2 linked regions of the Arabidopsis thaliana genome follow. The protein of the gene in region 2 interacts with the protein of the main gene of each other region in a pairwise test. Each region holds a gene or a part of one and is shown on either strand. Other genes may lie near its edges. The genes, in order: MYB121 and AT3G11850.

Region 1 (4,539 bases), 8.1 Mb from region 2:
CTCCGGTATTCATCCTCATACCACTGCGTTTAAACTTTAAACCATTTCAACCTTTGTATGGCTGATGTCAGCAGACACCTTCTCTTTTTCAATATGAATATGTATTGGTTTGGTTACTTATCTTAACTTAATTATAGTAAGACATGCGCAACAAATTTAGAGTGCTTTTGTTTCCCCCAAATAATTGATGTGCATAAATGGTTAAATAGCAAAAATGTTGTCCATACGTGTAGAGTCTTTGTCAGAATAGAACTTTTATATTTTTCTCTTTAATAGCAAAAATTATCATACTTCTAACGTCATTAAAGATTTTGTCTTTGATGCTTATCTGATAGCATCGACCAAAAACTCTACTTCGAAATGTAAAGTGAAAGATTTCTTATTAAACAAATTCTTAAATACAAATTACCAAAACCACAAGAAAGATTTAAAAAAAAAGTATATAAGAAACAAAGAAAAGAGTCATAATTCTGATAATTTAACATGTCTTCAAAGATCATTTTTAAATTTCATTTCCAAAGTTGAAATGTTCAGGGTTAAGAGAACTTTTTTCTCTATCTTATGTAAGAAATATTAATTAACATTTTTTTCCCTATTATATGATTTTATAGTTATCTGTTTTCTATGAATAATATTATTATTTAACATATTTGGTAATTATTTAAATTGGTAATAAAGAAGTTTTTTCTAATCAATCTCTATCGTAATGGATTGATGAGATCTAATTTTAAAAAAATCCTAATGAGGAATAGGTCCTCTCTCCACCTATAAATATATATATTTAAACCATCATAAGAATATAAAAAACACAACACGTTAAAAACTAAGTTTATAGACAAGGTAAGAGAAATCTGCTAACCTAAAAATTCAGGTAATCCGTTCACAAAAAAACTATCTGCAACAATGAATAGAGGTAATCTTATAAACCTCCTAATGAATCTATTATGTGATTAACTTAAATATTTAAAAATTTTAGGGGTTCATGTAAAGTTACACGTACATCTTAATCTAGTTTTCAAGTACGAATCTTGAACGTAAAAATGTTTAAACATTCAGATTAAAAAAAGACAGAAGATCGTATAATCTTTGGTTACTTGGTTTAACTAATTCAAGAAAACCCTAACATTGCCATAAATGTTGATACGTACAGCCGAAAGGCCACATGGATACAAGGTGAGTCATCGTTACTTTATTGTATGGAAGGCATTTTCTGATTTGTTTATTGCCCGATTTAGTATACACTTCATTAGGCCCATTAGTTAGAGCATAATTATATTTTTATATTTGTAAACTAATCACAAATTACTCTTAAAGCATGCCTCTTTTTTCGTTATTTTATTACACAGATGTTGAGATTCTAGTGGCTCATAAGTTCCTTTCGAGAATTTAAAGACAACCCACTAATATATTTTATAATATATATTTTCCGCCGAGAACTGAATCCAGAACAAAGTTATGCCTCTGTGATGATGTCTATAAGAAACTTTTTAAGTGTCCAAAGACAAAACCTTGTTGTTCAAGAATATTTTCTTTTTGGTGATGACGAATAAATTCATGGTACGGATCTATGTATAGATTTGGTAATAGGGTACTTGTAGAATCCTAATTGGGTAAGAAAATAATGAGCTGGTTCTCATTATGGTATCGACACTTGTTCGAAGAATAGTGGCTTCTCAAGATTGTTTCCGTGATTGAGGAAGTCTAGCTAGTAAAAAAAAATTATGATTGACGAGGCTAATGATAATGCATATGCTACATGGTTAACTATAGAGTCTATAAGTACATGAAATAAAATATTTAGAATCAAAACACCCACAAAAAGTAAGAAGTGACTGTTGTCAAGCATATAATAGAGATCCACATACTATTTATATCCACACGCACATGTTCAAGCAGAGACAAAGATATAGAAAACATAAACATAGAAGAGCAAATTAAGCAACAGTCTTACACAGACAGAAGTTGTAGAATTGATTTGTGAGTGAAAAACTATTTAAGACTGAACAAGTATGCTTGATTGGGGAGTTCAAGGTCATCATCAAAAGCATGATCATGATATTTATCAACAACAACATCAACAACAAGGATGTAGGAAGGGACCATGGACACTTGAAGAAGACAAGCTTCTCGCAGAGTATGTTACTTCGCATGGTGAAGGAAGATGGAGCACTGTAGCTAAGTGTGCAGGTAACTATTTTGATTCAATCATGGCTTCTAAAAACACATAAGTTTTACTAATCTAATCTTTATAATCTCGTAGACATATTAGTAAGCGAATCACCAAATTATACCAAAGATCTTGATCTTCTTTCTGTTTGAGTCTTTTTTTCAATGAAAGTAAGATTTAATTATAATAGTTATATATACATCTATATAATTAAATAACACATGCTTTTATGACGATTAATATAGATAAGTGTGAGATCATATAAGTGTATATGGGGTATAGTTGACCTGATTAAGCTCTTTCATTCTTTTTCTTTGTCTCTTTTTTATTTATTTATAATCTAGAAGCAGTCTCAAACTTTCACAAACAGAAAGAGGACAATGTCATGGTGGAAAGGTTTTACGGTTTATTGTTTTTCGAATAATCAAAAGATGATCTTTTATGATTCCTTGTTTTCTGTTTTCAGGAGTTGACTTTCATAAGTTTTGGGAACATTTTTACATATATTATACCCTTTTTATTCGAGCATTTTCGTCGAGATAATGTTAAAATTTAAGAGATTCATACTCATATATTATATAGATAAAGATCATCAAGTTGCATTATTTTTTTTATATCCATGTTATATGTCAAACCCATTTATAGTGCTCCATTTCCTTTCATGGAATTTAAAAATTAGGGTTGAATAGAAGTGGTAAAAGCTGTAGACTAAGGTGGGTGAACTACTTGAGGCCAGGGCTTAAGAGAGGACAAATCACTCCTCAAGAAGAAGGAATCATCCTTGAACTTCATTCCCTTTGGGGTAACAAGTAAGCTACTCTTTTTTTTCTTCTTGATATTCTCTAGTAAATGGTAAGCTCAAACCTACATAATAGATTGATATTATATATCAATGAAAGAAAGAGATACAATTACTCCAAAGTTTAACTAAAATATCATAGTCTAAACTATTCTTCATGAGTCTCAACTCTTTATTATCATACATTTGTACTAGTGTATACCTATGTTTAGTTTTTGTAATCAATCCTTTCATGAGAACTTACATATTTTCACAAAATATATATAGGTGGTCTACAATCGCAAGATATTTACCAGGACGAACCGATAATGAAATAAAAAACTACTGGAGAACACATTACAAGAAAAACCAAAAATCTTCTTCGAAGCAAGACAAAGTAAAAAAATCTCTATCCCGGAAACAACAACAAGTGGATCTTAAACCACAACCACAAGCACAATCTGAGAATCATCAGTCTCAGCTAGTGTCCCAAGATCACATGAATATCGACAACGATCATAACATAGCTTCATCCTTGTATTACCCGACAAGTGTCTTCGATGACAAATTATATATGCCTCAAAGTGTAGCAACAACCTCATCCGACCACTCTATGATCGATGAAGGTCACTTGTGGGGCAGCTTGTGGAATCTAGACGAGGATGATCCGCATAGCTTTGGTGGTGGCTCAGGACAGGGAACAGCTGCGGATATTGATGAGAAGTTTCCAGACAGCGGAATTGAGGCCCCGTCGTGTGGCTCAGGGGATTATAGTTATACTGGAGTTTACATGGGAGGCTATATTTTTTGATTAGTATGCTCGAAGATATCAAGAAGTTGTGTCTTCGTAGGTTGAGAAAAAAATTAAAACACCTCATTGTGTAATTTATAACTTTAGTAGTGATCTAAAACTAGAGTGGAGTGAGGCTAATAAGATGGTTTGGAATATATATGTCTATTCTACCATTGTTTGTATAAGTTTTATGGAATAAATAGTTTCAAAATAATCTTTCCATTTTTTTATTCCATGAACCCTTAATAGTGGTAGACATCATGCATTGTACTATTTCAGTGAAACCTTGACTCTGTCACATATAATTCATGTTGAGTAATCTTTCAAGTTAACTTAAGGCCTACAATAGCTTTAATAAGTCGGTTAAAGTATAAGATAAGGCTTAAGGAAATATATTAGTTTTAAGAGTTATCTAAACCTAATTGTAATAGGATTAGCAAAGTTGTGTCTTCTATAAATACATCTTTTGGTTAAGTTGTAACCATAAGAGAAGTGATAGAGCTTGTTTAGTTTTGAGAGAGTTTCTAAAGATCAAAAACGAGAGTAATTCTTTATATAAGTTTGTTCGAATCTTCTTTGTTTGGTATCAGAGCGGTTTCGATCAACTTGAAGGAGTCAAGTATGGAATCTTGAAGAACACAGCAGAGACGTAATCGAGCCATGGACGACATCGACTAACCACCACAACAGAAGGATCTTGTCCAGACAGCCATCTAATGCCCTATGCTAACCTTGCCAAACTATACAGTTTGTGCCATGAGGATGAAGGTCTTACTACGGGTTAATAAGTTGTGGGGCATG
Region 2 (5,351 bases):
TGGTGGACATCGGAGTTACATTTAGAGGTTTCAAAGCTATTGTAATCCACATATTCCATCGGATCATTAGTGAGTGTTAATAGGTTTGTGAATCTTTTTTATTCTGTTTTTGTGTTTGTATTTAAATGGAGTTTTAATGAATTAAAATATTACATCGAATATGTTGTTATTCAATTAGGATTTTAAAAAGTTAGTGAAAGTGTGATGTTATTGATTTAAGATTTATAGAAAGAATTTAATATTTTCATAAATCTGAAATTATTGAATTTATTCTTTTATAAAGTCAATTAAAGTTTTGTGTTATTCATTTAAAACAAAAGAATTTATGATTGTTAATAAATTAAAATATAATTTTATTGTTGATTAGTATAGAACATATATAACTAATAATATAATAATTTAATTCATCAACAATCATAGATTTTTTTTGTTTTAATTCAATAACACAAAACTTTTATTGATTTTATAAAATTATGAATCCAATAACTTCATATTTATGAAGACTTTAGATTACTTTTACAAATCTTAAACTAATCAGAAAAATTGATTGAATCACTAAAATTCTATTTAACTTACAAACTAATAACATCCCTTTACTTTCTATAATTTATTAGAGTCATCAAAATTCTTTGTAAAATAAGAATCTGTAATACCCTCTAAACTTTTCTAAAGTTTGTCACTCTTTCCTTGATTTTTCGACAATCTTCTACCCCGGTTTTAAAAGAAGTAAACTAATACCAAAGTAGACTTTTTTTTATCCCAAACTACGAAATTATCACATTGATGAAAAAGACACACCGTTTTATTTTATTTTGTTTTCCGATTGATAATTTAGTTCATTAGTATTTTTTTCAATCTCCTAATCACATGTGACTATTCAATATATAGTTAAAAAAAAATTAAAAACTACAAAACCTCTTGATGAGGTGCAAAACATATACTTTTTGATGCTATTTGAAAAACTACAAAACCTCATTCTAGAAAAAGCTCTTTCTCTAAAAATATTTCTTCTCGGTTGTCGATGTCACGTCGACCAACAAGAATTTCCCCAATGGGTAAATTAACTTTTAAAAAAAAACTCGTCCAATTTTTCTCCTTCACCACAATCTCCTAAAAACTCGTTCGGCTCTTTTGCCACAAAGAAACAAATCAGGGATACAATGAGCTCTAAACTTCATAATTTTTCTTTCGTTTCCATTTCTCATACCTATAATTCTAAAATATATGAAAAAATTATTATAAAATATATTAATATATCAAATTTTGGACTAAATAAAATTTAACCCATGATATAAAACGGGGCATGATCTAGTACTACATTATTTTTAAAAATATGACCATAGTCAATGTATTATAATTACTCAAATCAACACACTCAATATGAAACTACACAAATCCTTTTCTTCATAAATACAATCTGACAGAAGTTCATTAAATCCTAAATTCGTGACTTGTCTTACATTTTGCAACAAATCAACCATATATAAACACAAAAGTACAAATTGCAAATACAAAAAACAATTAAAAGAAAACTTTTTTGCTGAATTCGAACAAGAAAGTTGACTTCACAAAATTTGCTGGTTGTATTGGTCTATTGGATATGGGCCTTAAAAGAACATTTGAAATTATGAACCCGAGATATTTTTTTTGATTTTTGAGGTCATGCCGCCATGTACTTTGTTCGTAGGTTATTGACTTATGACACCTCACTCAATCAAATATCAGCCGTTGATCTTTAGCCAATACCTCATCTTGACGTTCATTCAGGATCGTCTCCTCGTTTATACCAAAAATAGTCTCCCTGACAACCATCATCGGGAACAGGAGACAGAGTCTGACAGACAGAAGAGAGACTCCATGAGAATCCTTCTCCTCCGTTTATTATAGACAAAAAAAAATAAAAATCCAGATGAATAAAACAGATTTTTAGGGTTTCCAAAAATCAAACAATTATCAAAACCTTTTTTTCAATACATACAATTTGAATTCATTCTCTACAATTACGAAAATTCCTTAATACCTTTTTTGTCCTCTTTTTTTTGTTTGTTTACGCGATAGAAAAAACGTTTCTCGTTCTGTTTCTCTGTTTCGTGGACGGGAGACAAAATTCTCTCCAATTTCTGGGTCGCCAAGGGGTAAGTAAGGTTTCATCAATTTGCGTTTTCGGATTTTTGTTTTCTCTCTTGATCCAGATTCTGAAATTGAGTTTTACTGTGTTGTTTCCGCAGAATTGGCTTCAGCTGGATTTTTTTTTTTTTTTTTTCCTGAGAAGCTTCCGATGATTTAGGGGTTAGTGCGATTTAGGTCTCTTCCTGTAATTTTTCGCGATTCTCTGTATAATTTGTGTGGTTGGTGTGAGGAGAATCTTGGAATTGGGAATGGAATCTCCGATCAAATGTTGCGACTGTGGATGCGATTGTTGTTCTTCCTCCCCTGGTTCATGGATTCGATCTGTGAAGAAGAGAAGACACGACGAATTACAGACCGAGAAACGATTCTCGATACCGGAGCTGGACGACCTAGACATGTTCTCTAATCCTAGAGTCCAAATTGAGAACGAATGTGAATTACTACGCGAGACTGTTAGCAATCAACAGCAAACGATTCAGGATTTGTATCATGAGCTTGAGCAAGAGCGTATTGCTTCATCAACTGCTGCAGATGAAACAGTAAAGATGATTCAGACGTTGGAGCGTGAAAAAGCAAAAATCGACTTGGAACTGAAACAGCTTCAGCGTAGTGTTGACGAAACATTGAATTATGAAAACCAAGAGATTGAGGCATTGGAAAATATGGTTTATCAAAGGGATCAGACGATTCAGGCTCTTACGTTTGAAACTCAGGCTTATAAGCACAGAATGATGAGTTTTGGGCTAACCGAAGCAGAAGCTGATGGTGAGAGGAGCTTGCTTAGTCGTAACCCGAGCATGATCGACTTTAGTTCTGAATATGACTGCCCTACACAAGATTACCCTCCTCTTAAATGCAATATTAATGAGAACCAAGACCCTCTTGAGGCTGATATCTATGTTGCAGATGATGAGAACTATCCACCAGCTGATTCTCCTCATGGGAGAGTACATTTAAAGACTTTGGATCGAAGACTCAGCCAGATGGAGACGAATCCTAGCTTTACTCAGTTGAATAGAGGGAGGGATGTTTCAGAGAAGGGGATGGTTGGTGAGAGTCCTAGGCGTCAAAGACATTTTAGGAGGATTTCCCCTACTGGTTCATCAAGTTCACACTTGGGAGCATCTAAAGAACTAAGACCTGATGTTTTTGTTGATTCCCCGAGGTCCCAAAGCTACAGCTCTAAGAAAATGGAAGATGTCTCGTATACAGAGAATAATAATGCTAAAGATGACTTGTCGGAAATAGGAGATGACATGAGTGATAGAGTTTATACCATTGATTCTGTTCATCACAGCAGTGTGGCTCATAGTGGCGGTGTAGCGGAGCAGAAGATTGAGGATGGTGCTTCTGATGGCAATGTTGTTTTCCCGAGAGAACACACGGATCTTGGTGATCCTGATATAACGAAACTCTACATGAGGCTTCAAGCACTGGAGGCTGACAGGGAATCAATGAAACATGCGCTTCTCTCTATGAGGACTGAAAAGGCTCAAATGGTACTGTTGAAAGAAATTGCTCAACACTTGTCAAAGGAAGTTGTCCCTCAACGGAGATTGCCTCTACGTAAAGCATCTATTGCTGGGCCATTGACTTTTACGCCGGTCTTTAAGGTGATTGTCATGTTTCTGTATGATCACAAAGCAACTTCGTCTAAAGCTGTCTCTTGTTTTCTACTGTTCTCACTCTAACTTGTTTCTGTAATTTTGATTCTTATTCCTCTGCAGTGGATCACATCTTTTGTTTCCTGGAAAAGAAAGGCTCGTCGAAGCAAGTAAGTAACCTGTAACAAATTTTGGTTACTCTATGCTTCACATACCTATCACAAGAGAAAGATCTGTGAATCTCTTTGAGAAATAACTATTGTCATCCATTTTCAAACCGGTGCTCTCTTGCACTATAATCTCGTCCTTAATATTCGAAAAACAAGGCAATGTTTCACATGATAGTTTAGAAATTACTGTTGGATTTTAGGGAGCTGCTTATGAAACTTATGCTGGTCTCTGTTCCAATGCAAATACGCAGATACATGTATGGGATGTCAGGAAACAACATCGGCTTGCAAATGCTTCTAGAAAAAGTCCCTCGGTCAAGGAAATGGCGATGTCTTAGGAGCACGCAAGTGTGAAACAGATCCAATCCTTTCAAGCCAACAAAATCACTCTCCTGACTCTAGATTCGAAGCACATAATGTCAAATACTGATGTGGGATTGGCGAGGTAACATTTGTCGGCCTTTCTTCAACTTGAATTGGATTCTCGTTCTTGGGTTGCAGAGAAAATGTATTTGCTGTGCGATTTTCAATCTGTTTTCCTCAATATTTTAACTGTTGTATAAAAGAATTGGGTTGAAGAATGATATAACTCAGAGGCTATACAATCTTTGTATGGTTTCTAACATGAATTGTTTCATTCATGGATTCTTTTTTCTTTTTTTTATCAATATTTTGGAGATGGATTCATCACATAAATAAGTGAAGGAAAATGTAAAATGTTCCCGTTTCAAACCTCATTTCCCACACTTGGGAAAAGGAAAATAAAAATATTTGTTGTCAGCATTCCTCCTATATATTTGTTGACCTTAAAATGAAACAAAAGAAATTTTCCATGAAATATAATAGAATGTTCTGTTTGCTGACCATGAGTTGAATAGAGTTAACAAAAAGAAAAAAAAGTTTGTAATCGACCATGGACATATTTTGGAAGGATCAAAATTCAGACCATGTTCTAAAGCCGAGTTGCTGCTGAGAGTAAAAAACAATATATAGATTTAACATATTTGCTCTAGTCTCTTGTTCAAAAAAAGATGGTCTAGAAATCTTCGATATTGAATTTTTCGATTACCAAAAATAAAAATAATTAGGAGGGGACTTACATAAAATTGTTATTTTATTCAGTATACGTGAAGAGTGATTTCATTTCATTGACAAATAAACAGACACGTGTCATGTTTTGATAGTGAATATTTCTTTGTCTAAAAAACATATGTTAGTGGAATTCAAAAGCGAAGACCAATTAAGTAAACGGAGCCGCCATTTCTTACTTCCACCACATGTTTCTCTTCTTCTTCATCTTTACTATTATTCTAGATCATCATTATATGAATATATATACGTACACAAAATCATACGTTTTTCCACAAATGGATCAAGAAGAGGAAGAGATCGAGATTCCTAATTACTTTATCTGCCCAATCTCACTAGAGATCATGAAAGATCCAGT

The links.
Region 1: the proteins of AT3G11850 (region 2) and MYB121 interact in a two-hybrid assay, tested with the Arabidopsis thaliana proteins (one large-scale study listed by BioGRID).

Annotation. Positions count from the first base shown.
Region 1 is NC_003074.8:11,836,558-11,841,096, forward strand, and holds MYB121 (myb domain protein 121), read left to right. Parts: upstream 1-1,805; 5' UTR 1,806-2,009; coding exon 2,010-2,187; intron 2,188-2,846; coding exon 2,847-2,976; intron 2,977-3,233; coding exon 3,234-3,756; 3' UTR 3,757-3,945; downstream 3,946-4,539.
Region 2 is NC_003074.8:3,738,129-3,743,479, reverse strand, and holds AT3G11850 (myosin-binding protein (Protein of unknown function, DUF593)), read left to right. Parts: upstream 1-1,726; 5' UTR 1,727-2,135; intron 2,136-2,228; 5' UTR 2,229-2,378; coding exon 2,379-3,743; intron 3,744-3,857; coding exon 3,858-3,904; intron 3,905-4,155; coding exon 4,156-4,258; 3' UTR 4,259-4,727; downstream 4,728-5,351. Other genes in the region: PUB24 (E3 ubiquitin-protein ligase PUB24-like protein), read left to right, coding at 5,272-5,351.